Linked DNA regions of Styela clava. The protein of the gene in region 2 purifies or fractionates together with the protein of the main gene of each other region. This does not show direct contact. Links are inferred from orthologs where the notes say so. Each region holds a gene or a part of one and is shown on either strand. Other genes may lie near its edges.

Region 1 (15,563 bases), on a different chromosome or scaffold from region 2:
AAAAAAAAAAATTTAGATTGCCAAGGTCCTAAAAACACGAAAAAATTTTCCGGAGTGGCATCCTAATCAAGCAATAGTTCGTTTTCTGCATTTCTCTCTTGTATTCCCTTCCCTAATCGATAGGATGGAATTTACATATTTATCCCGGGGAGAGAAAAACCGATAAGACGACTTAACCCTATGGCGAACCACGGCTTCTCGCCCGGTTACCGTTCCATGTCGGGTATGGGATTAGTTACCGGTAGTTATTTGTTTTCTGAGGTGTGGTGACGCGAACCCACACAGAGTAATCAGAGGTGCGGTGATGAGCGTATTCCTAACGCTTAGCACAATGAGCCACATCGCCGCGCACAATCGCTTATATTTCATTCGAAATCAATTTATAACAGCAAGTTAGCAAGTAAGTCTAACCAACATGTCCTGTACAACTTCATAAATAAAGCAGAAATGAAGAAAAGGATGGCACAGACGAATTATATTACGCAAGGATGTAGCCGAATGAATTCTGCGCTCTTCTCGACAAAATTTTTCGAGAGCTCACTCATTTGTTACGTCATAATATATTTCTTTGTAGCCTTATGTCATGAAAGGACAAAACGAGTTTAAATAAATAATGGATTGTTAACAACGAATAATAAATGAACGTCCTAGTTTCATCAGATAATTCTTGAGTCGTGAAACTTTTTATCTGAAAAAGAATGATCTGGTTTCCGAGGCCTCGCTCGCGTGCCGAATAAATGGGTTCGCGTGCCAGGGGTTGCCCACTCCTGTCCTAGTCGATAGCAAGGTATCTCTCCTACACGTTTTAAATGATTGATAATCTATGTTTTGCAGTTATTTTGAATAAAAATGAGTTATTTATAAGTAAATGGATATCATGCAATTCTCTACTTTGTAATTATGGTTTTGATAAATGATAATATAAGATATCCCCCGAAAATAAGTCCTAGTGTTATTTTTCGAAAAAAAAATTGAAATAAGACCCAGTCTTATTTTCGAGGAAACACGGTAGTAGTATATATTTACGGTAGTACATCCAAAAAAGTAAGAAAGGTAATAGCCCTCTAGCGATTATTTCTGAAAATTTGAAATCTACATGACCGTCAAAATTGCCAAATTTCACTACCCCAATACGAATAACAACAAATTCCGTTCGAGTTATATTATCGCCCAATTAAATAATTAGTTTAATTATCATTTCTGCTTTGTTCAATTTCACCTCACTAGTCACTACGCTCACACCGCACATGTATAAAATAAACGGGGAAGTCCCTTCACCTATTTCAAGTCCTAACCTAAAGCAGGCTACGGGCTTTTACGTTCAACAATAACTTGAAAATGGCAAAGGTAAACCAGAAAAAGGTTAAAACAGCGAGTAAGAAAACTAGCAACAAAAATAATAAAGTTTTTCAAGTCAGCAAAATCGGGAAAAAGAACCAGACAGGAAAGACAAAACAGAAAATCGCCGATAAAAAGAAGCTCCAACGAACTCAAGAGCAGGTTGCCAAATCTGACATCGCATACGACGATATAAAACACAGAATGACGAACGTTAAAGTAAAAAAAGAGACGAAAAGTGACAAAAAACAAAAATCTAAATCACGAAAAAGTGAAGTTGATTTAGAAAGCACTTTAGACCAAATGAAAATGCTTTGTAGAACGAAAATTAACCAGCTAAATTGATGTGGGAAATCGGTGACGTGTGGCTTACCAGAATATTATTACCTGAGTTCAGAAGTGCCAATGCTGCCATGGCACGCTTCATTATTTCCCAGGGCATAATGAACTCTGATACAATTTTCGGGGGGGTGGGAAAGTTAATTACATGACTTAATCCAGTAATCATATGAAGAACCATGGACTGCCATCCATGGGGAGAGCACCCTCCAGTCATAACCAAAAAAAAGTGTTTATTTATTTGTATGTATGCCTTCATATTTACATCTGTTTTGGTTGAGAAATCTATCTATTAGTCACAGAGCCAAGTTGGGTATTAGTATACTTGATTAGTTACTCATTCCAGATGCATGGGCTTGCATACTTCACGGGAGCGAGAAAAACCAAAGACATGGCTAAATCTAAATTGTTTGGCGTCTACCACTGCCGTCTCCCACTAACCAGGCTGGGCATGAGGGTACTAGATCAGAGGTTTCCCCCCCGATCTATTTGGGGCAAATACCCCCACTAACACTCCCCTAACATTAACACACTCTCCCTAATTTCGAGGTATGACACCACTCTTCAATTCAATACTTTGATATAATTGTATTTGAATATCCAGAAAGTGGCATATAAACCAGTTCTGATGATCAGTCAAGTTACAGATAGTTTTATCATTAATATTGAAATATCTACCACCTCCTAAATTTGGATTTTGTTCCACTTTTAGATGAGTGGGCACACCTTTTGGTATCACCTTGTTTAAAATTTGAGCATTTTAAACTTTAATTTTCATTGTTTTACTTTCAACCATTTATATCTTCTTTTATAGTGATTATGGAATTGAATCCGCCACATTCAACATTAATTCGTATTATTAATATGGTGTTTATTGCTTTCCTGAATTGGCATTTTTGCATATTTTATACAAAACAGTTTGATGTTTTTAAATTTCTATCATTCTAAATAATATTCCTCACTAATTGTGAATTGACTAGAGAAGAATAATTATGTTCGGGGATTCCAAGGTGCCCAAGTCTGTTCTGGTTTCATGGAAAAGTAGAGCTCCACTTATTGTAATTTGAAGAACATGTTGATTTATAACAATTTGTTGTGAGAACTTTTCTTTTCGAGAGGTAATTTCTCTGCAACTTGAATTTTTTGTTTTGGTAACTGTATGATTTAATTTGTACCATTGATATTAGTACTTTTCCTGGGTTTCCAGTGCACATATCTTGTAGAATATAATTCTTCGAAATAAAATTAGATGCTTCTAGTAATTTCTGCTGTTGGTCCTAGAAAAAATATCAGTACGCTCATGTTATTTGCCCACCACTGATCCATTTGCCTTCTGTCAAGTATCGCCACGTTACTCATTTGACAAATATTCGTCTGTCTTTTTGTTCATACATACATTTTAAGTGTACCGATATGAAGGTAAATAATTTTGTTCACCTATTTTACATCAAGCTGTGTTAAGGGACCGAAACCTATGGGCAGGTGGTATATTCACTTGGCTAACACAGGTGGTCCCCGAACTCGTAATAGAACTAAAATAAGGAGAATAAAAGGTTGGGTTTTTATTTTTACATAAGGCAAAGGCACATTGGTTTTAAAGCATTACCAGTAATGGCAATAAAGCCAAAACTCTCAGTTAAAGAGAACTTAAGGCCCAACACTGTTTTCCTCAATGCTTTTAATTCAGGCTTTGTTTCCAAGTGTAATAGAACTACAATAAATACAAAAATAACAGTTTAATAAAGTACAAGGACAAATCTACAAAAACAAAGATCAGCAAACAAAATATTTTAAAACGTGATAACTCAAACATAAATGTTCCAACTGAAAGGTGACAATGCTGCCAGGCTGTAATCACTGAGATTGATATCTTTGACCACAGAGATCTGCTGTCAGAGAAGTACATTTTTCTGGCCATGTTCACAACACAACGTGGGTACTTCTAGTTGGCGTGGCACAACCATTTTTGCATATGTTGTTCCTAACCCCCACTTGACTACGCCATTCAAAAATGACATCACAGTATTGTAATAAGGTCTTCCAAATTATACTAACTGTCATCCAAGAATTGTAGACGATCACCCAAAATCGAGCAAGCTATTCCTCTCGCTTTTTCTTCCTAATGATCCCCATATGAAAAAGATCGCTGGTGTTAGTGTCATTTCGGACTGACGTGATTATGAGGTCGTAGTGACGTAATCTTTGAATGACAGACCAGGTGGGGGTTAGGAATAACAAATGCAAAAGTGGTTGTGCCACGCCAAATAGAAGTACTTAGGTCGTTTAGTGAACATGCGCTCATTTTTCTGAATCTATTTATGGAAGGACTTTAGTAAATATTTCCAAAGAACAAATTTCCCAAAAATTATTCATATCATATTTGGTAAAACACGTACAGTGGTGAGAAAAAGTTATTAAGTAACCAATAATGCATAAAAAAAAGATTACACAGCCGATTTATAAGCGAATTCTGCCCCATTTTCTTTAGTAAATATGATCCCATTATTCCAGTTTTTCTAGGAGAATTGCTTAAATCAATGCCACACACTTAGAAGTGAAGAAGTCTCATCTTTGAGCAAAGTTATGGGCAACTGCTGGAAAGCCAAGAGCTATGCAGACTCATAGTAATATGTTAACTCGTAGTTGCTTGCGACTCTAAATAGCACACGCACATTTGATCCTTACTTAAAAGCACTAACGAGCCGCCTTTTGGGTGCCAGACCATAGAATGGGTATGGAACGTTGCCCCCACAGGTACCTGGACTGAAACAGACCCAGATGGGGACCAAAGATATATTTTATCATTTCCTGTAGCCACTGCCAAACGACAAGTCTTTGGATCCCATTTTAACGACTTGATTTGCGAAGTTTGCTGTAAAACGACGTACAAACATAGTTTTTGCATGCTCCATATAAAGACGCAAGTTTTCATACTGTCATCCACAGTCGCCAGATATTTGTTATCAGGACTGAATTCCATCCAACCAGCCCCGATTTTGGGGTTTGGCTTATCTGGGTTTGGGGGCATGAAAGGGAGATCAATGGGGTGTTCGCAAAATTCGTATCTACTTTGTGTGCTGAATAACGACGGCATCATGTTCGAGCCTTCTTCTTCTTTCGTGGGAAGAGTCGGTCGCTGTTCGACTTCTTTATAAACTACGACATTTCCGCCTTGGATTGTCGAAGTGTGCGTAAACTCTGAAATTGATTTCCATGTTATATGATTCAATAGGCGAACTTTTTGATCGTAACTCCCTACAGCGAGAAACTGGCTTGTCGGGGACCACGACATTTTTTTAATTCCTAATGCCCATTCGTATGCTTTATAGGTTGCTAAGCAACGGCCATCCATCGTATAGATCAAAACTTTATACCAAAGCATGTTATCTGCGACGCAAAGAACACGGCCATCTGGTGACCACTCCAACGAAGCCATATCTTCTGTGTCAGACTCAAAAATTTTCACCATTTGCCACGAGTCGACTGCGAAAATGCTAACATAGTCTTTGCATTTTCGAGTTTCACCGAGAGCGAGGTATTTTCCATCCTTTGAGAAGCTTAAACAATCTTTTGAATTCTTTACATATCGTATATAAGATACAGACTTGTTCACAAGAGACCAAACTGTGATTCGTAGATTAAAACTTGCTGTCGTAAGGATATGACGTCCGTCAGGGCTCCACTGAGCTCTAATAAGACCTGCCGACCCCTCATCAACTTTGCAAGTCCAATCTGGCTGCTCAATAGACCACACTTGAACAATGCCACGTTTAAACATAGCGCAGAGCAGGAATGCAGAGTCAGATGACCAACCGATTTGTTGAATAACATCCATGCATGTATAAAGTCGCAAAATTTGCAGAGTTTCGACATCTCTTATGATTAGTTTGTAAGAGACACAAGTCGCAATGTATTTTCCATCAGGAGAAAACTTACATAAAAAATTAGATTGCTTGAATAGCTCTGAAAAATTCATTCTTACGGTAAATCTGAAAAATTATTACACATGAAATTTAGAGAAGTGCAAATCGAAGTCTATCACAGATTTAAATCATATAGGCCTACTATTTTCAATGAAGAACACGATATAGAAGTTCTAGAACAGTGGTTCCCAACCCTTTTTTGGATCGTGGCCCACTTCCGGGGGCTTTTAGCACTCATGGCGCCCATGTTTATCAATCCAGTGGTATATATAGTGTTATTTTGATTGGTAGATTCCAAATGCCAATATGTTCAAACACTATCAACCTTAACAAAGTGAAAACACCCAGCGAAAAAACCTTATCAAGCAATGAAACTAGGAAAGACGGGGAGTTTTCTTATAAAATGAAATGTCAAATTAGCTTTTCGCCTAGCATTGTGGCCCCATATGATGGGAACTGCTGTTCTGGAAGTTTGAATTTGGAGATTCAGGATAGTTGAGATGAAGAGTGATTTGATTGGTTATTCTTTATCACTCAAAACTAAAAGCCTTTTTGATCATACTGTGAGATTTCAAATGAAAAGTTGGACATTTTCCAGTTATCCCTCTCCCCACTAATATCAACAATTCTCCTATTTTTTAATTTTTTGCTTGATAATGCTGGAAATTTTAAAAATTTTGCCAAATAATGGTGAATGTTTCATAGACATTCCATAAACAAAATACTTTTATTAGTGAGTGTGGGCATTCATATATTAGTGGGAGGGGGTTATAAGTAGGGGGGGAATAACTGGAAATATCCAGGATAAACAATTTTTAAATTCTCAAATCTAGAGTTTGAGAAAATGACCTAATTTAATTTTGATTAGAATATTCAATATCATTGTATGTATGTATGTATCATTGCTACGATTGGAACAATATTTCTCAGTAATTAAATTTCTAAAAATCATAACTATCTTACATGACAGTGTTACAAATAATTCATGCACGAAAAACGGAATATTACAACAAAATAAATTCAATCAAGCGTGAATATTCTACTAGAAATGTCATCAACAACCCAGTTCACCCCTTCCAATAGATTTGCCCCGGTTACGGCACTGCATGGAAAAATAGACCAATGATGTGTTTTAATACTGTCCAATTCCAAAACTTCTTTGATCTCTTCTGAAGAGAGAGACCCTGGTAGGTCCTGTTTATTCGCAAAAACGAGCAAAGTTGCCCCCGCCAGTCTTTCTTCAACCAAAAGAAGCTGCAATTCTTTTATACAATCTTCCATTCTTCGTTTATCAGCGCTGTCCACCACCCAAACTAATCCATCTGTACTCTCGAAGTAGTTTCGCCAATAAGACCGTAAAGATTTCTGGCCTCCAACGTCCCAAATGTTCAGTTTGAATCCACGATGTTCGATAGTTTTGATGTTAAATCCAAGCGTCGGCGAAATTGTATCGATATCTTCGCCGTTAAATTTCTTTAAAATTGTTGTTTTACCCGCGTTATCAAGGCCTAACATCAAAATTCGCATCTCTTTTTCTTTTTGCTTCATTTTTTTCAAAATTGTGAGCAGACCCATGTTGATATTGTGGAATTTTTCGACTAAAAACCAACAAATTCGAGTCAAAGAAAGGAAATATCGCGAGCTCGCCAACGACAAAAACTATTTGAAGAGGAGTGACCTTTAGCCCCAAACTGTTCCGCGCTAATAATTTTTCAGTTCTATTCCAGGCGCCAGATTCACATAACGAAAAACACAAATAAATGAATGAATACAAATAAATACGCACATTAAAATTGACAGAGCATATTTCAAATACAGATTGTCTGAATTAATGTACCAGGTGGTAACACCAAACAAATCAATCATTTAAAGATGAGTAATCAATAATGAATTGGAACAAATCGATCAAAAAAAAACGATTTCCCAAACTCTCTGGGCCATTCCCGGTGCACAATCGCATTAAAAGGCGTGATGCCCCCTATAGATAGATCGTATTTCTTCTCCACGAGATAAAAATGATGTCCTATCTTAGTTCAGCGGTATGGCGCATCGTACTATGCGTTAGGATACGCTCACCACCGCACTTATGATTACCCTTCATTTGTTTGCAGGTTCCTGTGAGAGATAATTATTTGCGAAAGAGTTGCTGGAGGTCTAGTTGCCGTAGGGGGTTCACTTCATCAGAAATAACTGGTTAATTACTTCCATACCGACATCACCCGGTGCACAACATAGACTGGTAACCGGGCGAGAGGCCGTGGTTTGCTATATGTTTGAGACGTTTGTCGGCTTTCCTTTTACCCGGGATAAATATGTAAATCCTATTCTGAATTTTTATTACTGTTAGACCTATAATCAAGTATGATGCTGCTTGATATTCAGTATTTGTTTTACGCGCCCTTTTTCATCTTGGAATGCCTTTTTTACATTATTTTCTATATTCTGTTCGTAAAAAGTTTGTTCTAAGTATTATGATAAAATAAACTACCGATTAATACATACCGAGTCTATGTTTCTGAAATCAAACAACTGGCTAACTAATCCCGTACTCCACATGGACCGGTAACCGGCCGAAAAGTCGTGATATGCCATGTGATTAAGCCGTTTTATCGGCTTATTATTACTTAGACTAATTAGCACGATGGTCTTTTAAACTTAACTTCATGATTTCACAGCAGGGTTCAGCTTGGAAGGAGAGAGTTTAATCTATAAGCTATTTTATTTTTATGCAATATAACAGCGTGGTCCAAGGTTGCTAGATCGAAGGACCGCAGAAAATTTGAAGAAGGCCTAGCGGGCCGCAGTCGGGATACCCAAAAGTAATCAAAGTACTGCGAACTGCGAGTTTGGTTACTTTAAATTTAAAGAATGAGAGTTTACCGTTATTATCATTTTATTGTTATGTTGCATCGGTGTCGTTTTTCATTATTTATGTTAAGGAAGATATATTAAGCACAAACAAAACAATGTGTTGTTTCTTGCTTTTGGTTACTGCTTCAGATATGCGTTTGACTACTACTGGCCCACGTTGAAAATAGAGATGTGCTAGTACTAAAATAAGGCAAAAAATGTCTGAAGGATAACAGCCTATCGACACGCGATCGTACCGGTCACAGAACGTCATTTTCATATCGACACCGCCTTGACGTTCATAAATACAACCTTCGTTATTCTAACAAATATGATTCCCGACATCGAAATTAGGAAAAGGTTTGAAATCTCGGGATCTCAACTCGAGTCAGAATAGCTAAAAAGAACTCAATGTTCCTCCAATAAATACAAATATCTGCCAATGGGCCAGGGTTTGGACCACTCTGCAATATAACTTTTTTCCCGGTAATAGAAAAATATTTATGAAATTTAAATAAAATTGTGCGTGCGTGCCTTAATTAGTTTTGTTACTTTTGAGTGAACGTTTTGCATTTTATGATGACACTCTTTTTTTCTTTTTTGAATTCTACTTGGTATCGTTATGAAAAAAATCACTTTTCTCATTGATTACTGGATCATTTGCTTTGAAATTTTCAGTGAGTAAAGATTATATTTCCTCTGGTTCGTTCTGGTTAACGTGATAATATCTTTGAGCATAGCTTTTTTGTGAAAACAAGAAAATGACATTTTTGAATCTAAGTACGTGACCTTTCATTAATTAAATTGTAGGCTGCGTCGAGATTAATTCTGGTTTCTTCTAATATGATGTCATAGGTTTTTGTTTATCATTTTAGGCTGAGTCGTCGCTCGGAGTCTGCTGTCATTTTTTCCTGATACATTGCGCGCTTTTGTTTGTGAATTTAGTGATTCTAGTGCTTTTTAAACACTTCAAAATAAAACTAAAACTAATTAAATAAAGAATTTAGTTTTTAAATAAAATTCTGTAATAACTGGTCTGATGTAATTTACCTGTAGACTACGGTACCGGTACCAACACACACAGACACAAGCTGTCAAGGAAATTAATCCGGTCGACATACAACCGCGGAAATAGTCCACTCACCGTTTTTTTTGTCATCACAGACAGCGTTCAACACTATTTAAGCTTTACATTTATTAAACTTGCTGGATTACATACCTATTCTGATTGACTCCGGTTGACTGGTGGATATTGATATTATAATTTCCGAACAGCAGAACTGATTTATTTCTACACTTACAAAAATTTTGGAATTTAACGTTAATTGAGGGCACTTTCTGACTTCAACTGTTGAAAAGGTTTGTTACCGTACTTCAGTAGGCCTACTTATCTTTTCATTTTACTTTTCTCTAAACAGCTGAAGGTTGTTATCACATATTTTGAATATTCTGTTCTAGACTTCTGTACTTTGATTGTTTGTTAATATTTTGATATTTGTGTCCCTGGCTCAATTTTATAATTTTTCAATAATAATAAACATTCAAAATGTTTACTTATTTACTTACGCTAGGTCCTGTACCGTAAAACCGGCTAACTTCGAATGATTTTACTATATTTTGAACAATATCTCTGCCGCATGTTGTTCAATTGAAGCCAAATTTGGAATATAATACATTGTGGCTATTCTCGTCATGGTCAAATCGGTTTCACATCCACCAAAGCCTTTTTTCATTGAAATTATCGACTTTATTCGTCTATTCTAAAATTATCTAACTTCGGATGGCCGCTTTTCTCTTTGCGTCACCTCGCCGTGAGAGAGAAATGTCTGCGTGAGCAGTGACGCATGACAACGTCGCTGAGCAGACCTTACGCCGCCTCGACGCGTTATGCGTGATGCATACTGACGTTCGTACGTGACGCTACTCTTGCCTCGTCGCGAAGCTGATATGTCGTAAACAGACATATCTAATCATCATGATCCTATAGAAACTTCTAGAAGTTCCACGCTAACCTGTTTAACGTTCCATGCTCAAGATCTTATTATCCTCGGTCGATCGTAAAGAGACATATCTAATCATTATGGTCGTATAGAAACGTCTAGAAACTGGATGTTTATCAGCCTAACGTGTTACCAATTGCTATCTATCGGTGTCGGAGAAAGTATGCAAAAACAGAAATCGACAAATTTTATATGCATCAAGCGTATGTATACGCATTATTTTTAAATAAAGAACATATGACTGAGACGATAGTGATGTTTTTGTAGGATTTAGGGACAAGGCTCATGGATGTCCTCAAATTTTAAATTTCACAATACTGGGCGCCGCGAGGTCTGCGTTCAAATGTCGCGGCGAGTTACGCACGAGCTACGCAAAGTGACGTCGGCTATGAAAAGAGAGAAAGCGATTTGTGTCGTTGACGTCACGCTGTACGTAATCATCAAAACGTCGAAATTTTGATGCAATTTTTAAATCAAAATAATCGATTTCACTCGAATCTCGTACGACACCTCGTGATCACTGTATTTTTTTGTATACATTGTGTACGCTCTCTAGCGCTTGGCGGTAATTTGGCGAAAGTCGCGTCGGTAGAAGTCATGGTTTGAGTCGCTCAAAAAAAGGTGTCATTTTTTTGGTAAAATATGATTTTTTGAGTAAAAAAAAAAAAAATCGAGAGACTGGAGGGTAGGACAGATTCATATATGTAAGGCCTTACTATAGAAACCGACAGAAGCGCAATATGACGAAATTCAGTTGAGATATGAACGATTGAAAATTTCATCCGAAGTTAGAAGGCATCCGAAATTAGCCGGTTTTACGGTACTTCTGTAATTTCATTGTTTTGTTACCATCTGTGTCTTTGACTCAATTTTATAAGGGCAAAAGCAAAATTTGAAAATGTGTACCTATCTACTTAGGTTTAGGTATTTAGTACAATATTATATTGTTGGGGTAATTTAGTGCTTGCAATCTTCCATACAAAGGCTTCTACAGCAATTATAACAAAATTAGCAGAGAGAAACTTTGTTCACATTTATAGTGAACATTTTGACTTTTCCTCTGATGCATCATTGCGGTACGGCACACTATGCAGATTGAGCAACATTGTCCCGTTTCAGAGAAACCCATTTACTGATGATCAGACCCCCCCCCCTTTGGGGACGTTTGGACATGGTTGTCCCTCAATATCGGTAAAAATACAGTAAAATAAAGTTGCGCAAAAAACTACAAAAAAAAATTCAATCTAAAAACGTCATCATTAGATTTCTCTGGAAAAAATAATTCGATTTGGCCACATGACAGCCGCGTTTAATTTAGATTATTATCGAGACAAGCATGGTGCAATATGCCTCATCTTCTGTCATGCTAGATGCCCCTCGTTTGTAAGACGCCTGGAGTGTTTATATTATTGAACCAAACGACGGGACATTCCTGGAATTTGGATAGTGTGCCCTATTGCATTGAACGAATTCTTGTTATATTGCTTAAAATTACTTTCTTTTTAGGTTTTTTGAAGAAAAGAGGAATTTACAAAAACAAATAATGCATAAGGAGTGTTCCCAACAAAATTCCACTACAATATTTTCTTCGCTTCTTGCTATTATTTCGTCAATTTCGAGTAGACTTTCGTGTGAGAACATTTGTAGTTTATAAACAAGTTAAAGGTCATTGAAGGTTGAAAGGTCATCACTGTGAAAAACTTTTTGGTACCGAGAAAATTGCACTTACTAAACAGGAGACATGAAGTTGTTAGAGAACTCTAACTTGGATCGTTTGAATAGCGTACTTTTCACGAAAAACGATGATTGTCGAATTATCGGACGTATCGAGAGTTATTCATGCAAAATGGCTGGCGATGACAAGCGACTTTTTAAAGTATTTTCACACGATGCTCCGCCTACTGATCTTGCTGCGTTAGCACCACCTCAAACGATTTTATCAGCGAGTCCGAATGCCGGAAATTACAGTCGAAGTTTGAGTAGCGCCGATGAGAATGACAACCCACTCAGTCACGTTTGCAGTCGCAAAACGCTCTATTATCTCATATCTACTCTCAACGCGTCATTTCGACCTGATTACGACTTCAGCCACTCAAAAAGTGATGAATTCTCTCGAGAACCGAGCGTCACCTGGGTGCAAAGTTTCATCGACAATACTCTAGGTACAGTTCTCGGCGAACACTACCATCGCCTTCACAGCACTCTCTGGAACACGGTTGATGAGGAGATCGACCTAAAAGAATGCAATGTCTACTCATACAATCCAGATCTTGAATGCGATCCGTTTGGAGACGAAGGATGTTTATGGTCGTTCAATTTCTTTCTTTACAATCTCAAAAAGAAAAGAATCGTGTTTTTCACGTGCAAAGCGCAATCTGCATCTGCTGATGATGACTCCGGCCTCGGAAGGGATAATCTTGACATGAGTGATGAGGAAATGGAGTATTTCCTCGGAATAGAAGAAGAAGAAAACTCGATGCCTATCGTCGTTGAGTGATTTTGATCGATATTAATCGTACTTTCGAATTGAAGTACGACATACGAATATTGTAAATATTCTTTCTGATTGCTCAATGCATGGTGTAGACCAAATTTAATAATTGATTATATGCTATATCAATAATACTACTTGAATCAATATATAATCAATTGATCTGTAAATTAACTGGAATTGATCTAGGCGAAATTTCAAACAGCCAATATTGTGGATTCTAATGTGTTTTTTCAAAAAATTGAAAAAGTATCGACCAATCTTGAAGCAATATAGCAATACTTGCTTATAACTGAATATATCAGACAGATTCTTACTGGGCATTAGTCAACAAACAAATAGAAAAATAGTCAGTTAATTACAATTTTTGTTGCTACAAATATTACTGTTCATAGCATCAAAATTTAGCGGAATTTAAGTTACTATTATTCGGAAAAATGTGTTCCAATAAAATTTTAGATTTGAATGTATAAAATTGCAATTTTTTTCGTAATGAAACCTTGGATTAAGTTAAAGCATATAAATTCTACTGGAATCATCAACATTGAAATTAACAACACAATAGAATGGTACACTACCAACAATTTGTATATTCGACAGTCCTTAATATCAATTGATTTTTTTGATATCTCTGTGAGCCCTAGTTGAACTATAATGAAAATATAGGATGTTCGCTATTACTGGTATTTAGGAATCTCATTGAAGATAAAGAATGTCCAAACAAAATGATACAATTTATAGATTTTTTTTTAAATTTGCATCAATACGAGGGTTCGTGTTAACTTTAAGAGAAAACTTTGGACATGGACACCCATTAGGAATGACTAAACAAAGTTGAAACAATTTTGAAAATGATATCTTAACTGACTTTTTTTTTTTAATTTTGCATTAATTAATACTAGGGTTTATGTTGTGTTTTGGAGAAAAATTTGGACACCTTCAATAATGTACAATTCGTCAGTTAATCTTTCCTTTAGATACATCAATTTTATAAGATGTGCAATGCGCTACAATGCATATATAACATGACTTACTTCATGGTATGATTCACTTATATTAATCATATAATGAGTCATATGTATGACAGAACTGTACGTTTCTATGACATTTTGCATTAGTTTGCTTAGATGATTATTATTGATTTTAAAAATTTCACTCAGACTAACTAATCATATAGTGAGTTAGAACGAGGCTTCCCAAATTTTTAAGCGCACAGCCCTTTCATACATAATAATATTTTTCTTAAGTTGGCATTTTTATGTATGATTCTCAGGCCTTACAATCACAATCAAAGTCGGCTTTATTGTGTGCACTAGTTTCAATAATTGTATTTTGAATCAAAAGTCTAAAAAAGTACAATAAATATTTGCTGGCTTGTGGCCTCTCAGATGAGGGGGGAGGTCATAGTTTGAGAAATTCTGGTGTAGCCATGTATATTTAGTACTCATTATGTGGTCCATTCCTTTATGAAGCATATTTTGCTATATGATATGGCGTGACTGACACCTCTCTTTGTTATGAACATGACAAGTAAGTGTGAATTGAAAAGCGCATTCATATCCTGTGTTTTGGAAACTTGTTTAATTAAATCTATATTCTGAGAAAACGCAGAGTAAGGTTATATTTTGCAATAATATTTCGTGTTGATATTGGCACTTTATAGTCATTTTAGGGCTTATTCTTTTTCTGAACACGGCTCTAGGCAAGCGCAAGTAATAAACAAGGAAATACCCATTTTACTCAATTTCAATCCACACAAGCTGCATGATAGATCAGAAAAGGCTATGGGCCCTAACTTACAATGATTGAGACATGTTAATGTGTTAGTATTCCTTCCAGTTGTTTTGGCTTTCCCTTGCCCACATAATTTCGTAAATTAATTAACAGCTAGAGGCTATTTTCAATTGGGCCTTTCAAGTGTCAGTAAGGGTGTCAACAGCACTTGATGCCTAACACTTAAACCCAAACTTTCTTTTCTTCATTACTGATAATGTTGTATTCTAAAATGCATTAAAGTGACTTTTTACGATGGTATATGGTGAAATTTATGTTTTTTATTTGCTTTTTGAGTAAGAGTAATGTACCAACCTTAATCTGTATCGTTTTTAGTAACTCTTGGCATTGTTGGTCACTTATAATTTTGCTCAGAGATGAGTCTCTTTTACTAGTCAATGTCACCCTCATAAAATGATATCGCATTGAAACCTCTTATGATTTTAATTTTCACCAGCAATTTTGCTCAGAAATGAGTCCCCCGAGCTCAGCTAAGAGAAGAGTTTTCTATCAGAAATTTTTACTTCTGAGTGAGTTCTTGTAGCTCTGCCCTAAGATTGGTCTCTTTTACTTCTGAGTGACCATAACTTTGCTCAGAGATGAGTCTCCTTTACTTTTGAGTGAGTGCCCATAACTTTGGCCCTAAGATTACTCACTTCTGAGTGAGTGCACGTAACTTCACTCAGAGGTGGGTGTCTTAATTTTGAGCGAGTGCAAATTACTTAAAGATGAGTCCCTTTTACTTCTGATTGCTTGTATATTAGGTCATAAATTGGTCTACTTTATTTTTGTGTGAGGGCTCGTAACTTCGCTCGGAGATCCTTTGCTTCTGAGCGAGTGTGTTTGTGC
Region 2 (15,894 bases):
GCGAGAACTAAACACAGAAGTAGAACATCTAAGACAACAAGTAGCGAATGCAAGACAAGAGCTTGAAACAACGAAACGAGAAAAAGAAGAAATGGAACAGGAAAAAAACGAAACAATCAGAATATTGGAAAAAAGAATCGATGAAATGGAAATATCATACGAAGGAGTCCTTACGGCTTCGCTTGATTCACTTATTGGAAAAATTGATGAAGCTAAGGATAAATGGGATCAAGAAGGAATTAAAATACAGGAACAAACTAAAATTACTCTTCTAGAGTTCGGTCTGAACCCTCTGGATATTTGATAATAAATTCAGATAATTTGTTCTGTTGAAAGAATTGCTTACAAGGTCATACGGGAGAACATTTTAAATCCGCTTGCCTTCAATGATAGACAATAAAACTTATATGAATTCTAAAATCTGATCATTGGATTAGACTACCTGCTCATATTTGTTGATGATTATATTCAATAGCTTACTGGAGAACTAGGTATATTTTAATGTAATCCTGTAGTTTTCATAAATCATTTTCATCACTGTGTTGTGAATTGTGCGACTTTCATTTGTGTCTCACTATTTTTACCTTGTTATCATTAATTTCATAGTACCATATTGATAGGTTTAAAGGTTTTAGGGATACTACTGTATAGTTGTTGTGACTAAAAAATGCCTGTAAGATGGAGTGATGAAGATCCTGCTGAATTTGATGAGGAAGCATTCAAAATAGTCGACGACGTAATAGCAAAAGCTGTTCATGATGTTTCAGTTGAAATTAGACATAATTTGGTATGTATATTTTATATGATATGTCAAATCTGGCTTGGATAGGCCTTGAAGCTTCATATACCAACGGCGTTCCGGTTGTTGGACAGTTCATTGCGTTCCTGTTGTTAAAATAAAATTATGGTTCGAAAAGTCTGGTTTCCTCGGGAAACTTAGTTATTAATTGATGTTTTGTTGCATCATAATTATTTTTACATTTCAGCTGGCAAATAATTAGTGCACAGCAGTAATGTATAATGAATGTTTTGCCGACCTTTGACCCTTGTGAACATTTGTATTGAATTAGTATGAATATTCTTTCAATTTTAAAAAGTCATATTTCAGATAATTTCATTGTAGTTCTTCGGCTCTATCTTACGATAGACAAAATTACTGGTAGCGCCGTGTTGTAAATATATATTACATTTTCACGAATTTGGTGCGTTCCGGTTGTTACGATTTTTCTAGCTCATCACTGACCGTATATATATATATATATTTTCAGGCCAACCTTCCAATAATATTTGAAGATAAAGAAGACTTTGGAATTCCAAACATAGAATGGTCGTCTTGTGAAAACTTCACTCCAGAAAATGGAGTGGGTCAGATAGAGAAGTTCATCGCTGTATGTCTTGAATTTTGCTCTTTGTGCTAAATTTTATATATGTGTAATGTGTATGCAAATGTGTATTATATAGAGAACTTCACTAAACTATGCTCTCAAATGTTGAAGCCAATTATGTAGGTCCTCCTGAAGTATGCACACCAAGATGGCGCACAACGTGAACTCAGGTTGTGTACCAGGTTAGATTCAGGTTGTGAGACATCTTGGTGTGCATACTTTAGGAGTACCTATATGTACAATCTTTGACTGGTGATAAGTTAAGGCTGGATCTGTAATAGCTAACAAGTTACGGTAATTGTTTAATTTTATAGACTATAAATAGTTTTCAGGTTCTACAAGAGCAAGGAGTTCGGATATCCTCTTGCAGCATATTAACTTGTTATTCTAGTTCTTCGCCGATTACCTATATGAAACATTTTTCATAATACAATATATTCATATTAGATATATTTTACTATAACAGACTTGGAAGCGAGATTCAGCATGGTTATACTGTATCGATTATATGGGTGACACAGAATTTGATTATGATATTCGACATAAATATAGAGTAAGATGGAGCATACCAACTAGAAGAAAACCAATACCTAGAGCAACTGCCTGTGTCTACTTTACAATCAGTCTTTCGAAGATTAAACCTAAGGTAAACGCTTCAAAATTTTGTCAACAATTCTAAAGTCTAGTAGAATAAACTAAAGTGAGGCATTTGAAGGGTACTACTATATGTGCAAGTGCAAATGTTTTGTACTATCTCCATAAGCTAGCATAGACTTGGTCAGAACTATGACATTCATTTTGTCAAATGGTTTTAAAATAGTTAGTGAAATCTCAGTGCTAAGGTCCTCAGTTTGATTGCCTTCGAATGTTCCATTTTGAACTCTGATGATAAAAAGAACGATATAAAAAAACATTCAGGCGCAATCATATGGTATGAGAACACATTATTAAAACGAGAAAGCAAAAAGTAATACGAATGAATGGACATGGACCATGATAATTGTGTGCAATTTTCCAAGTAATTCTTCACTGTCAGATAATTTTCTTCAAGTAATCAAAATTGAAAATTGATTAATCTAGTATAGTTATATATTAAAGAGAAACACCGCATTGGCGAAACCGATGCTAAAAGAATACTTTATGAAAAAATTTTCATGATGTCATAAAGAATTAAGTATCTTGAAATATTGATTTCCCCTGAGCATTTGTATGTATATAGTGTCATTGTCAGCGACCAATAATAAACTTCATTTTTACAGACTTTGCCTGTTGAAGTATTTTACATATTCGAAGGAAACAGATTAGTCCATAAGTAAGTGATTTTGTAATGACTGTTGTTGTATTTATTTTTACACAAAATCTCTATCCTTACATCATATATATTTTCAGGCCAGGAAAATCAAGATTTCGTGAAATCTGGTTGAAAAATCTTGTTGAAAGCAAAATATTAATGATGGAAACTGTTACATTTTAGCTATTATCAACTACCATAACTATTTTTGTATATCAATAATATTTTATATTTTTCTAAACAACAAAGTGTACAAAAATCGGATGTCACTTCCAATAAAAAAAACACTTTACTTGGAGGCTACCTATCATTAATTGCCATGCCGCTGATGCACCTATATTATAGTTAGTCTCAATATGCAGTGGAAATATTTAGCCTAGGAATAAAGGAATATCGACAAATCTAAATTAGGGGTTTGGACTACTGCTGGGAATAATCCGCTTCTAACAATCTACTCGTACTCTTTTTCTGTGCTCAATCCATATATTACAATTATCCCCTTTTTCAGTAATCACCAATATTCCCAAAATTGTGCTGTTACTGTATTGAAAACTAAAATGGCAGTAGTTTTGTTTATCTGAATATCCAATGCTTTTTTTAATAAATAGAACATTACATATATTTTATATATTTATTTTAAATTCTCTCAGGCTATGATTATTTAACAACAATAATACTATGAACAATCAGACCATTGTAATAAATATATAGAATGGTCTGGTAACGCCGCTGCAAATACTAAACCGGAATGGTTCGCATCACTAAAACCATTCAACCACGATTGATCTCCACAAACATAATTTGAACCTCGTTTTGACCAACGACACATAGGTAAATTCCACCGCCCCAAAACGCCTGGAAGACTTTCCGTTCCAACATTCTGTTGGAGTTGAAAAGTGCCTCCATCGTCGGGAGTTATGTTATTAGATATTACAGTAGGAATATGACTGTCAGTCTTTGATTTTGGTAATTTAATACTGTTATAATTGATATCGTTAATTAATTCATCTTCAACTGTGCTACTACTATTAGGTATACCATGATGTCTTGCAGAATCGTCTGTATTTGGGGTTTCAGTAACTTCCAGGCTTAGTTTCGTCGAAAATTTTGGAAGTTTTAATGATTGTTCAGGTAATGAACTGCTGCAACAAGCCTTACAGGGCTCTGATTCGACTTCATAGTCGACCGTTTCCGGACTAGGACTTGGGTGACTAACTGAGGGATTATTTTCTAACACTAGTTTTTTACGGTTTAACAAATTAGGATGTTGCGATTCTGTGGTGCTATCAAGCACTCTAATAAACAAACAGTTTTCTCGAGTGTCTGCAGCAAAAAACATAGTTTTACCCGCTCCAAGTAGAAAAGATGGGTCGTTTTGATGAGGAGTTACTCGAGTTAGAGTATAGTCTTTAAAATCCCATTCCAATACTCCTCGCTCGGATGAGCACATAATCCGTGTGCCATCAAAAAGAAGTTGCGGATGAAGGAAGCAATGTTCATTGTTATCATCAGTATTAAGAGGAGTAGTAGGATAAGATGGCATTGAATTTGATAAAAGTTTATCACTACAATCAGTAGCTGATAATTCACATAAACTTTGACAGTTGACCTCCTCACTTATCAGCCATATTCTTATCTCAACCTTGTCCATAGATAAGATAACATAATCACCAGGCTTATGGTGAAGGGAATCAACTTCACTCTTTCTTAAAATGACTTTTGTTACCCATTCTCTATGTCCATGATACATGTTTATTTGTTCACCTGTTGAAAGTTGCCATAAACGAACTGTTTTATCTGCCGATCCAGATACAAGCAACTCTCTTTCATTGTCATAAGAGACGCTAAAAACAGCCCCAGTATGTCCTCTATAATTCCGAATCATGTCTCCCGAACTCCACTCCCAACATCCAATCGTGTTATCGAAAGAAGCAGTGTACACAAAATATTCATCAAATGCAAGATCTGCACATGTATGAGTCTGTATAATCTGTAAACATTCTCCGGTTACCACATCCCAAAGTCTCACGCTTCGGTCATCTGAACCAGACGCCATCAAATTATTTCCGTTGTATCGAAGAGTATATACACGAGCCGTATGTCCAAGTAAAGTTAATACCTTAAAAGCAGAACCACTTTTTAATTGCTGTAGTCTTATCAGAGCTCGCTGGTAAGTTTTTTTCCAATAACCTCCAGACATTATGGAATCATCCACTTTCCACCCGATAGTCTTGCATGCTTTTAACCATGCTGGCTGACACGCAGAAACAGCTTCATTCCAAGTTTTACTGACTAGGCAGCATCGTCCTAATGAAATGGGATCTAGCCAGCTCAGAAGATAAATACATATTTCTGTTGGAAGAAATCGAACAAAGTCCCGCTTCAAAAATATTTCCAGACGATCTGAAAGATATTTCAGTTCGGGTGCTTCACATGCATCTATAATCCCATCCAATGCTGTAATTTTATCTTCAGTTGACAATTCTTGAAAGTCTGCTACAACTTTGGACAACCAGTGATTCATCTTAGAAAATTTTATTTTTTCTGCCATATTTGCTAAAAAATAGTATCAGAAGTAAGATTAAATAAATAGCATATTGCCCAGGCTTTGATGACAACACAGGTCTAAAATATTAAAAATGGTTCTGGCATGGGCCAGACATATGTCGTAGCCTCACACAGTGTGTAACGAATGGGTTATATTGTTGCAAGGAATATTATTGCATAATCAAGTAATTTAAAGCATGTTGTTTGTTGTTAAGTATATGAGCCTAGACAATTGGAATTCAATGGCATTATCTGGAAGAAAATTTTTTGGTGCCAATAAGCATTACTCATTTTAGAATGAATAGAAGAATGTGATATTGCCATTGCAGCACGAAACCCCAAGAACGAATTAATTAGTCTTTCAATAAAATTATATACTGATTATAAAAAAAACATATATTTAATAAATATATCTATCAATAGAATAGATATAAAACTTGAAAAAAACAGTTATATGCATATTACGGTAAGTGGGATATGTACGAAATAATTCCTAAAATGTTCAAAGGACCAAAAAAATACTTGCTGTGGAAAGAATCATATCAATATAATCATATAATATCAATATATTAAAAACTTTGACTCCAAGCCCCTGAGGTCCATAAATGTCTAACTTATTTGAGGTTTGAGCAGGGATGGCCATTTCCGAATACATTCTAAAATCGAAAATAACATATTTTTTTTAGTTTTAGTCCATTAAAACCCAGTAAAATAGGAAATAAGCTTCAATAGAAATATCAGAATAAAGCCACAAACCAACAGTATATGTACACAAATTAATTGATAGTTTATAGCTATCAATGAAAATAATAGCAACTTGTGACACAGTCAGTTGTACACTTAGTACAAATGACCATAAGAAAAGATAGCCAAGGAGTTGTCTGACGCTTTCTATCAATGGTACCATGATTTTACGATAATAGTCAAGTCTATTGACAAAAACACTACTTGTATTCAGATAAGTGTGTATATTTTCTGAGAGTAATAAAATTCATTGGCAATACAGGCAACTGAAGCAAGGAACAACATTCGAATATCCATTATGTCTAGAGCAGGGCTTCCCAAACTAGGGGCCGCGGCCCTGGAAGGGGTCGCGAAGAGAACACCAATTTTACACAAAGTACTATATCTATTGCACTTTTTCAGACTCCTAATTTGAAATACAATCATTAAAAATAGTGTAAAACGATAAATTCACGATTCCGAGTGAATATACATCATCACACCGTGTTTTCCCGATAATAATTGTCATCAATTTTCTTTTGAACACTGGAGCTCATTTTAGGGGGATGTTGAGAATAACGAGATTAATATACGAAATATGAATACCGGAATATGATACAAATTTAATAGCACGTTTCCATTAAAAATAGCGGCTACATATAGGTTATCAACAATTTAAAAAGTAGATTTCTTTCAACTATAGGACTCAGTAGTTTTCGAACTTAATTGTATTGTGACGACCTCCAGAAATATGCTCAAGTTGCGACTTCCCGTGAAAAATACCGTACGTATTGATACATTTCAATATAATATCTTTTAATATAATATAATACCTTTTTTGCATTGAGTTTAATATAAACGAACAAACAAAATCTAACAACAGTCAGTGAAATCGAATTCAATGGGCCATGGTAGAAAAGCCTGCTTAATATAAATACGAAATCGCAAAGGAGATGTGGTGCGCAACGCTTTTTGAACCAAGTAGAAATAATCTTTATCTACAGAAAACCGAACTTTCAGAACATGAGAATCTCATCGAACATGAGTGAGTTTTGAGCATTTTGAAGAAAAACTAGGCAGAGTTGAGCAAGAAAGATTTGCACCATTACATTGAATAATTTGAGTAAAGATGTTTTTGTTATTGAGTAGCCCTATTAAAAGTTAAGAATTGGCTGTGTCAATAAAATATTAAAAAGCATATTTTGAACTTTTTAGCATTATTAGCGTGAACAAGGGCCGCGAAAAACTTTAATATATCAAAAGGGGCCGCGAGCTCAAAAGTTTGGGAAGCCCTGGTCTAGAGTATTCTACTACCTACCAGTATATTTGTATATTAATTTATGTGAACTATATTGTTATTATGTGTATCATATTGTTATGTCTGAAATTAGCAATAAGTTTTCAAGGATTTCACGATTTTCGAAATCGGAAATTCCCATTGCCTCCTGTAACAGCCACCGCGATTCCGCGCTCGTTCCTTTCAGCGTATAATGATCATCTTGTCACGTAAAATATTCAATCCATGACAACTACGAGATTCTGAAATATCTTTATATATTAATTTTATGAGTCAAACGTAACTCGCAGTTGCTTCTTCATACGTCTAAATAAAAACATTACTATTCGGTCCACGGCGATCTTATGGCATAGTCAGGTGGGGGTCAGGAATAACATACAGACATATGCAAAATTCGTTATGCTATGCCAACTGGAAGTAATTACAGAATCATGGTAGCCTACAGCTGTACAGTGATACTAAACTACTGAACTATACTAGACTGGCTGGTCAACACGAGTAGAACTCTCCTTAGAAATGGATATGGCCTAAATTGATCAGCAATAAACAAATACAGAAATATAGTACCCCAAGCATATTACCGAACTGAAAAAACATTACCCCGACTTTTACAGTTTTACTGCTGCCGCCAGTCGGCGGGCGTGAAGGTACTTGCTTACCGTACTGCCGTATGGAAGAGATATATTTTCGAAATTCGCATCACTTACCTAGGAATAAACTACTATCAATAACGTATCAAAACCGGTACCTGTAATATATTTCATTTTGACGAGCTCCACAATGTGGATTATTAAATAGTCAAAGAATATCGTATACTGGTATACATACAACAGAGCTGTGAAACGATAATAGAGAACATAGGGTAACGATGTTTTATGTCCGATCTTATCTGAGAAGTTGTGAGACGCTAGATGGCGCTATTGAATTGAAAAATTACAGTCAACCGTTTCCCTCTGTTTTTCGAAACTTACCGTATGCTGTGTTGTTTACTTTGCGGTGCCGTCCCTCGTCGATTTTGACGATTCGCTCGCGGATTATTGCCGTTGGTTGTATTTCATTGTTAGGCTCATTAAAGAATCGGATATGGAATAAATTATTACTAACGAAGGATGATCAAGTGAGCTATTGAAATAATTATTTTTTGTAGAATACTTAAGGCTGCCTGCAACGTGTTAGCCTAATTAAACTAAATTAATTTTGTGTTTGTTCGTTTATTGTTTTGTTTTATACCAGAGCGACCGAAATAAAATTGATTGATTGATTGATTAAACTGGCAATTCAGCATTTGTCTGAATGATACCTAGATAGAACAGTTTTACTTCTGTCCTCACTGTTTATAATATAAATATTTATTACACCTGTGTTTTTGAGTTGCCCAGGAAGTTTATGCCCTTTTTTGAGAGACAAGGGAGTGCTTGTTTTATTGAACCTGATGTCTGAATGATGGGACATCTCGGAATGGAGAACTGTGCCAAACTGTCAGACTGTTGAAAGATGTTATTGACAAAACTGCAAAAGACATGCCTTGATTTTAGACTACATAAAATCTGGGGTCTAGTATAGTTTAGTACCACAAGTACTTTCATTGGGCGTAGCATAACGAATTTTGCATATTTTATTCCTAACCACCACCTGACTATGCCATCCAAAAATTACGTCACTACGACGTCACCATCACGTCATAGGGCTTGCCAAATTATAATTACGATCGCCCGAAATGGCATCTGCTCCTCCGATAACGAACTCGCTAAAGCCGGCGATCTCTCTCCTATCGTGATCGTTGTGACAAGGAAACGAGAGAAATAGCTTGCTCGATTTCGGGTGATCGTCTGCGCGATTTGGACGACCATCCACATACTTTGGTGGGCCTTATTACGCCACTGCGACGTCGAGATGACGTAATTTTTTGGTGACGTAGTCAGGTAAGGGTTAGGATTGACATATGCAAAAATTGTTGAGCCAGGCTAACTAGAAGTGAATGTGGTACTAAACTATACCAGACCCAAAATCTGTATAGTGGTCGCAAATAAAATGCAGATTTGAGTCGTTTGCATACCTATCTGTAAAAATCATGACACAGTAAATCAGATGAATATTTAAAATAGGAGTTTGTATGCATTTCTGTTGTACTTGAATAACTATTGTTTTATTGGATGCCATTTTCTATTTCAAACGAACAATATTTGAATAAAGATATATTCAAAATCCAGTACGTCACAGTTCTCCGATTCCAAGAGAGAAGCCCCACATTAAAATACATCAATTATGACAGTGATTGCAAGCCGAGCATAGTTAGTAAATAACCGTTGTTACGGTGCAGCAGTTAGCGATATATGTTGCTACTATGGTGAATAAATATCTGTAAATAACACTATAAATATTTGTGTATTTATATATTATTGTTTTTCAATAACTTCCAAGGTGAATGTAAAACAGAATCATAACTCGATCAGTTTTGTGTTTAGAAAAGTCTGCAAACCACTTTGAGCGCACTAGCATAAAAAATCATGAGCCAGCGTTGAATGTTGTTGATAGTAATCTATTTAAGAGGTTGATTAATCCATGAATTGTTTCCTTGCAGATGATTCACGATGAACAAAGTTACAGAACAAAAGTTTGTGACCCTGCGAAAGCAGTTGGATCAACTGGGTTATCGTCATGCCTTTGGTATCGATTCTATGCCGCTGGTAAATCAATTGTTCTCGGATTTGTTGCACACGACAGATTCATTGAAGAAGGCAAAAGTTAATTTGCATAAAGCAGCTGCACCAACAGCTAATCCAAATATTGATGATATTTTGGAACCATATAGCAAGGACAACGCTCGTCTTGTACAAGAGAATAACAGTCTTCATTTACAATGTGTTAGATTGAAAGAAGAAATCGATGCAACTTCGAAGGAATTAAAATCTAAAATCATCAAACTTGATCACGAAAATTCAGATTTACGTTTTTTGAATAATCAGTTTGTTCATAAAGTTCGTGTCCTGGAAAGCGAAACGGCTTCGAAAACAGAAAGTATTCAAAAACTGCAGGAAAAGAATTTACAGGCTGTAATTCAGACACCGGGAGGCAGAAAACGCAACATTCCTTTCCGAAGGCAACATATGCAAGTTGATGGTACACTTCCGCCATCATTTTCTGCTTCGTATATATCGACTCAACCCGATGACCCATATATCGCTGATCTATTGCAAGTTGCCGACACGAAAATTGATCAATTAGCTGTTGAATTAAAACTCTTATCGGAATCGAATTATGTTTGTGAGTCGAAGATAAGCACATTACGAGGTCAAGTTGAAATGCGAGATAGAGAAATAGAACGCTTAAATCGGTGTCTCGAAGGCGGCAGACCACATGATGTTTTGTCGTTAGAAGCAAAAAATAGCGCAAATGAACGATTGATCTCTCATTTGAATCTACAAGTTGAGTATTTACAACAAACTAACGAAGAACTCGAGATTCGTTTAAAAGAAGATGAAGCTCAACATGAGGAATGTCAGATGAGTGAGAGACGTTACGCTGATGAGGTGGAGAGGTTAAAACTGGAAATTAAAGAAATCGATCATCTTGCTAATCAACTGGAAAACGATAAAAGGAAAGCAGTTTCAGCTGCAGATTTGGAAATTCATGAAGCGCAACAGGAATTAAGACGCTCACAAAGACAAGAAAATGACTTGGAATCGCAACTTGTAAATGCCGAGGAATCTCGAGAAAAGTTAATCACTGAAAATGAGGATCTTCATTTAAGATTACAATCACAAGAACAAGAAATTGATGGTTTGAACGAATTATTAAACAAAGTTAAAACCGATAAAGATCTTCTTAGCAAACAAGTTAAAAATCTCATGGACAAGGAACGAGAACTTGTCATGGAATTAGAAGATCAGCAATTATCTGGCATCGGGGTACACAGGAAGGATAGAGGGGAAAGTAGATTAGATGCGTTCATAAAAACGTTGGAGCATGAACGTGATTATTATAAAAACGAATGTGATTTACTCAATTCGATGTTACAGAAACGAGAAAAACAAAAAGATTCTGATATATTAAGATCGACATCAAGAAGTCCAAAGAATAAAATTATGGATAAAAGCGCTTCGGAACAATTTAAACAATATGAAAAAGTAATTCGAGAAAGAGATGAATTACAAGCTATGTTAGATAAGTTCGAAAGACACATGTCTGAAATTCAAGCGAATGTGAAAATTTTAACACAGGAACGTGACAAGACAAATTTATTATATGAACAAACGCATGATGAGCTGCAAAGACTAAGAAGAGAAGCGGTACGATCTCCGAGATCTGCTAAAGCATCATTGACAGCACAAGCGATTTTACGGCGCGTTGAAACTGAAAGAGACAATGCGGTTTCTGATCTCCGTAGAATGACAACCGAACGTGACAGCTTACGAGAACATATCAATATTCAAAAAAATCAGTCATCTACTAATATAACAAGGTTAGAGCAAAGATTATCGGATCTAGCTGATAAAATCGAAGCATTAGAAGGAGAAAGAATCGAACTTAAGTCAAGATTGCAGTCGACAATGGAATCTAACATTGCTCAAGAAGAGGATCTCAAAGCTCTTCGAGCAAAACTACATGAACTAGAAGCAGAAAGACAAGACGCACAAGAAAGATTTGAGGATTCCCAAACTTGTAGAATGCAACTTGATGCATCACTAGAAAACACAAAGCAAAAATTATCCAAAAAAATGAAAGAGCACGAGGTTTTAGAAGATAGAGTCAGAGTACTTGAAAACAGAATTGCGGAGCTTCTCGATACTTCTACGAGACAAACAGATGATGCCACTGGTCTCCGCACCACAGTCACTATCCTCGATAGAGAAAAGGATGGTTTACAAGCAACTTTAGATGAAAAAACAGAAAAAATAGCTTTGCTTGAAGATCAAATCGCAAAAAGAGAAAGCCAAATTATGGATCAAAGAGTTACAATTAGCAATATTGAAAAGCAGTTGGATCGGGCCACAGAAGATATTTCAAGTTCTGATCGAGAATTAAGAAGTTTGCGTAGACAACTAGACACAACACAAACGGAATTAGCAGAAGCATTACGAGGTAGGGATGTTGCCGTCAGAGAAAACAGCCGACTCCAAGATGACCTCGCAACCTTGACAAGAGAAAATCAAGATTTAAATATCGAATTAGACAATGTGTTAAGAGAAAGAGAGGAAGGTCGTGTCAAAATTAAAGAATTCATTTCACGAGTCGCAAATTCTGAAGGCAATATTGCTTCCAAAGATAGGGAAATGCTAGATTTACTCGAGCAATATCGAAAAGTCTCGGTGGAACGAGATACAACTGAAAGTAAGTACAGACTCTTGGCAGACGAAACACAAGCGCTGAAGTTAGAACTCATGACGGCTGAAAATGAAAAAGTTCGCCTCGGAGATAAGAATAGATGTCTGGAGCAAGAGGTTTTGGAACATCTACATTCTCAACAAATTTATGAAAATAATATTGCAGAACTTACATCAAATATACAGCGTCTTGAAAACGAGATTCACCGTTCAAACGAAGAACGTTCTCTCATTGCTGTAGATTTATCTTCCGCCCGAGACCTTAATGCAAAACTTGATATCGGCAAGGAACAATTTGTCCGACAACTCGCATCGAAGAATGTTGAGTACGAACAACTTAAAGTCCGACACGATGAATTAACTCGAGAAGTTGAAATCTTACAAGAACAAATCGAGAGCGATCGTATGGAACGTAAGAATTTAGAATCGTTAATCGCTTCTTCTCGCGAGAAAGAATATCGTTCACAAACTTCTATGCAAGAGTTAAACGGCAGTTATCAAAACCTTAAAGATCAACTATCTCTCGCAGAAGGCAAACTTACACATCAAGGACGAGAAGTAAACACACTTAGAGCAAAAGTATCACAACTTGACGCAGATTTAGAAATCACAAAAAGACAACTTACAAATGAAAGGTACGAGAGGGAAAGGGCAGTTCAAGAGTTACGAAAGCATAACTTACCATCACCCATTACATCAAGGTCAGATCGACCATCACCGAGTCAAAGACCCCGGTCCGCAAGTCCTGCTCGGGCATCGTTTTTGGACACGAAGTAACTATACTTTCCAAGTTTCAAAATAGCTCGTTTTCCGATTGCATTTGTCATTTGCTGCTATGTTCCAATATCTATCTCAATGTCTTGCTTCTCGTGCCAACAGTGTTTTTCACAATTTTCTATACTTTTTATTACACAAATTTCGGGACCAAAATCTTTTTAATTGTAGTATCTGCTATTCAATTTTAGATTTTCAATTTTTTGTATCTATAGATAGGAGTAAAAATTTAAGACATTATGATACAATTCTGGCCAAAGAAAAGCATCATTAGAATACTAGTCCAGAATATGAAAATAGTTTAATCAGGGGTGCAGACATTTTCTGGTATTCTATGGTGTACCAGTCAAAATAACTGTTCTATATTATTCATAGATACTTCTTTTACATAAAGTCAGCATGTTTGTTTTTCTTATAAAAAAGAATTGTCTTTCAGGTTTTTGGTTAATGAAAACCTTTTTAGATAGATATAGATTCAAATTTATTTACACCTTTTGTGTGAATTTATCTTCCCTGCTCTTGAATGGGTATTATTAGACAGGGATTTATCAAGATCGGTGGTTCCCAGAGTTAATTGACCAAAATTAGAATCTGAATGATATTTGCGGGCAGGTAGAGGGGAGACTCCGCAAGGGCCTTTTACCGGTGCCAATATGTATAATTAAGATACCGAACTGAATTGTTACGAAAATACATGTGCTTGAACTTTGGTAATGACGTAACAACTGGTGGTATATCTTGAACACAAAAAGAAAAAAAAGCACGGTAAGCGCGGTAAACTATTCCACTCAAGCAGGATTTTGGTGTCTATATTAAATCATTACCTGTGCTTTAATTGGCCTGCGGGCTGCGATTTGGGAATCACTTTTCTAGATTATGTGAAACATAGCATATTGAACTAAATCTCAAATCCAATGTTTATGTCATTATGATGCATATGAGAAACATGCTGCATTTTTCTTATGCAAAGTAAAACAGTTATGTGTCATTTAAATACTTGGATTTGCTATGGAATTGAAGCTGATATTTAGGTCATTTTTGTACCTGATCAACTGTGTTTATGTTTTCGTAGGTGTTTTTGTTTTCGAGCATTCTTTTTGTGTTTTTATCCACTGTTCATATGGATCTTCCATTTACAATGGTGTTCCTAAATCTAGTTGGATTTTCACAAGGTTAGCAAACTTTCATATTAATAAACGGCTTAAGTAAAACATGATGCCCATTATAGTTTGCATCCCCAAATAAACATTTGCGAATAAGATGAATTAAGAAGGCATTGTATTTATTATAGTAGAATTTCATAGAATATGTCTCACATAACAAATTTGAAATTCATAAAATAGCTCGTTTTTTAGTGCCTGTTTGGATTTGATGACAATTTTGTCTTCAATCCTGAATATCATTCCTGTGGCATAGTTTGTCTGATATATACAGACAAATGCAACCGCTAAACCATAATGTCTTTTCATTTTTAGTGATTGAATTATTAATGCATTTCAATTTATTCGCTAGATTTTTGTGTGTGTTTTTCTAGTGCGTTCCTATTTTGTTTCTCAACTTTTTTTACATCTTTCATAAAATAGTATTTATGTTCCTTTGTAGATTTAGTAATAATTCATTACAAATATAGAATAACATTACATTATCGATGCATTAATCGAGCAATATAAAGAAAAAATGACAGACGGATCTGGGGAGTCTTCTTATGTTCTACTGTCAGTGGAAGCTGAAGCATTGATTGAAGGATTCCAATTGTTTCCAATAAAGGAACTGGGTGGACCAAGGTATTGTGTAATATACTCTACGAATCCTGAAAAATCTGGCTTTTATAGAAATAATAGATGAATGAGTAGGTTTATTTAATCCAGGGTTGTAGTATAGGGGGAATTTTATGTTCGACAACCCATTTAAAATCGACTCCTGGTTGACAGTTTCCAACCACAAGACAGTGTTTTTGACTATGATTACAATAATTAGAAGTTTTTTTGATTTCTGACTCTTGAAGGGGACCTCCAGAAGTATGCGCACCAAGATGGCGCACAACCTGAACATAGTACGTGTGTACCGGTTAGGATTCAGGTTGTACGACACCTTGGTGCGCATACTTCTGGAGCACCCTTGAAGGATTTGAAATTTTTACTTGGGCTCTGTGGAGTGTTTTGAAATTGAGACTGTGGCGCTGACTTCAATATCAATAATTCGTCAGCCGTATTCTAGTGTATCCCTAATTAAAACCTAGCGAATACCAGTAAGTTTTCTTGCTTATTGGTGAAATACTGATCACGGGAGAGGATTTTGTATTTGTCCCATAGTTAGGAAATTGTTCCGAAGCAAGCTCTGAAAATTAACCATCATGTAAAATAACATTCCTAATTGCGACACATCAGTTTGTTTCAATGTTTTTCACTTTCCCACAGATGGCAGAAACAGCATGAATACGTTGAAAAATTAAACATGCAAGCATTGTTGAATGCATCCGAAGAAAAAGAAGAGTATATCAAGGAATCACTTGTTAACTTGGATAAGGTGGATATTTAAATAAAATGACATATA

What was found.
Region 1: the proteins of centrosomal protein of 135 kDa-like (region 2) and WD repeat-containing protein WRAP73-like purify together in Homo sapiens (co-immunoprecipitation; 6 studies listed by BioGRID and IntAct, counting the BioPlex papers as one, with this or other methods). This does not show direct contact. The link is inferred for Styela clava from reciprocal best matches to the Homo sapiens genes CEP135 and WRAP73.

What each region holds. Positions count from the first base shown.
Region 1 is NC_135264.1:16,443,532-16,459,094, reverse strand, and holds WD repeat-containing protein WRAP73-like, read right to left. Parts: upstream 5,656-15,563; 5' UTR 5,654-5,655; coding exon 4,310-5,653; 3' UTR 3,336-4,309; downstream 1-3,335. Other genes in the region: ADP-ribosylation factor-like protein 2, read right to left, coding at 6,621-7,175; repressor of RNA polymerase III transcription MAF1 homolog, read left to right, coding at 12,192-12,947.
Region 2 is NC_135258.1:9,380,907-9,396,800, reverse strand, and holds centrosomal protein of 135 kDa-like, read left to right. Parts: upstream 1-8,197; 5' UTR 8,198-8,360; intron 8,361-9,824; 5' UTR 9,825-9,834; coding exon 9,835-13,344; 3' UTR 13,345-14,944; downstream 14,945-15,894. Other genes in the region: dynein regulatory complex protein 12-like, read left to right, coding at 1-304; A-kinase anchor protein 14-like, read left to right, coding at 668-787, 1,269-1,388, 1,852-2,031, 2,645-2,697, 2,775-2,859; F-box/WD repeat-containing protein 2-like, read right to left, coding at 3,353-5,227; zinc finger MYND domain-containing protein 10-like, read left to right, coding at 15,019-15,125, 15,759-15,867. UniProt on the Homo sapiens protein: Centrosomal microtubule-binding protein involved in centriole biogenesis. Acts as a scaffolding protein during early centriole biogenesis.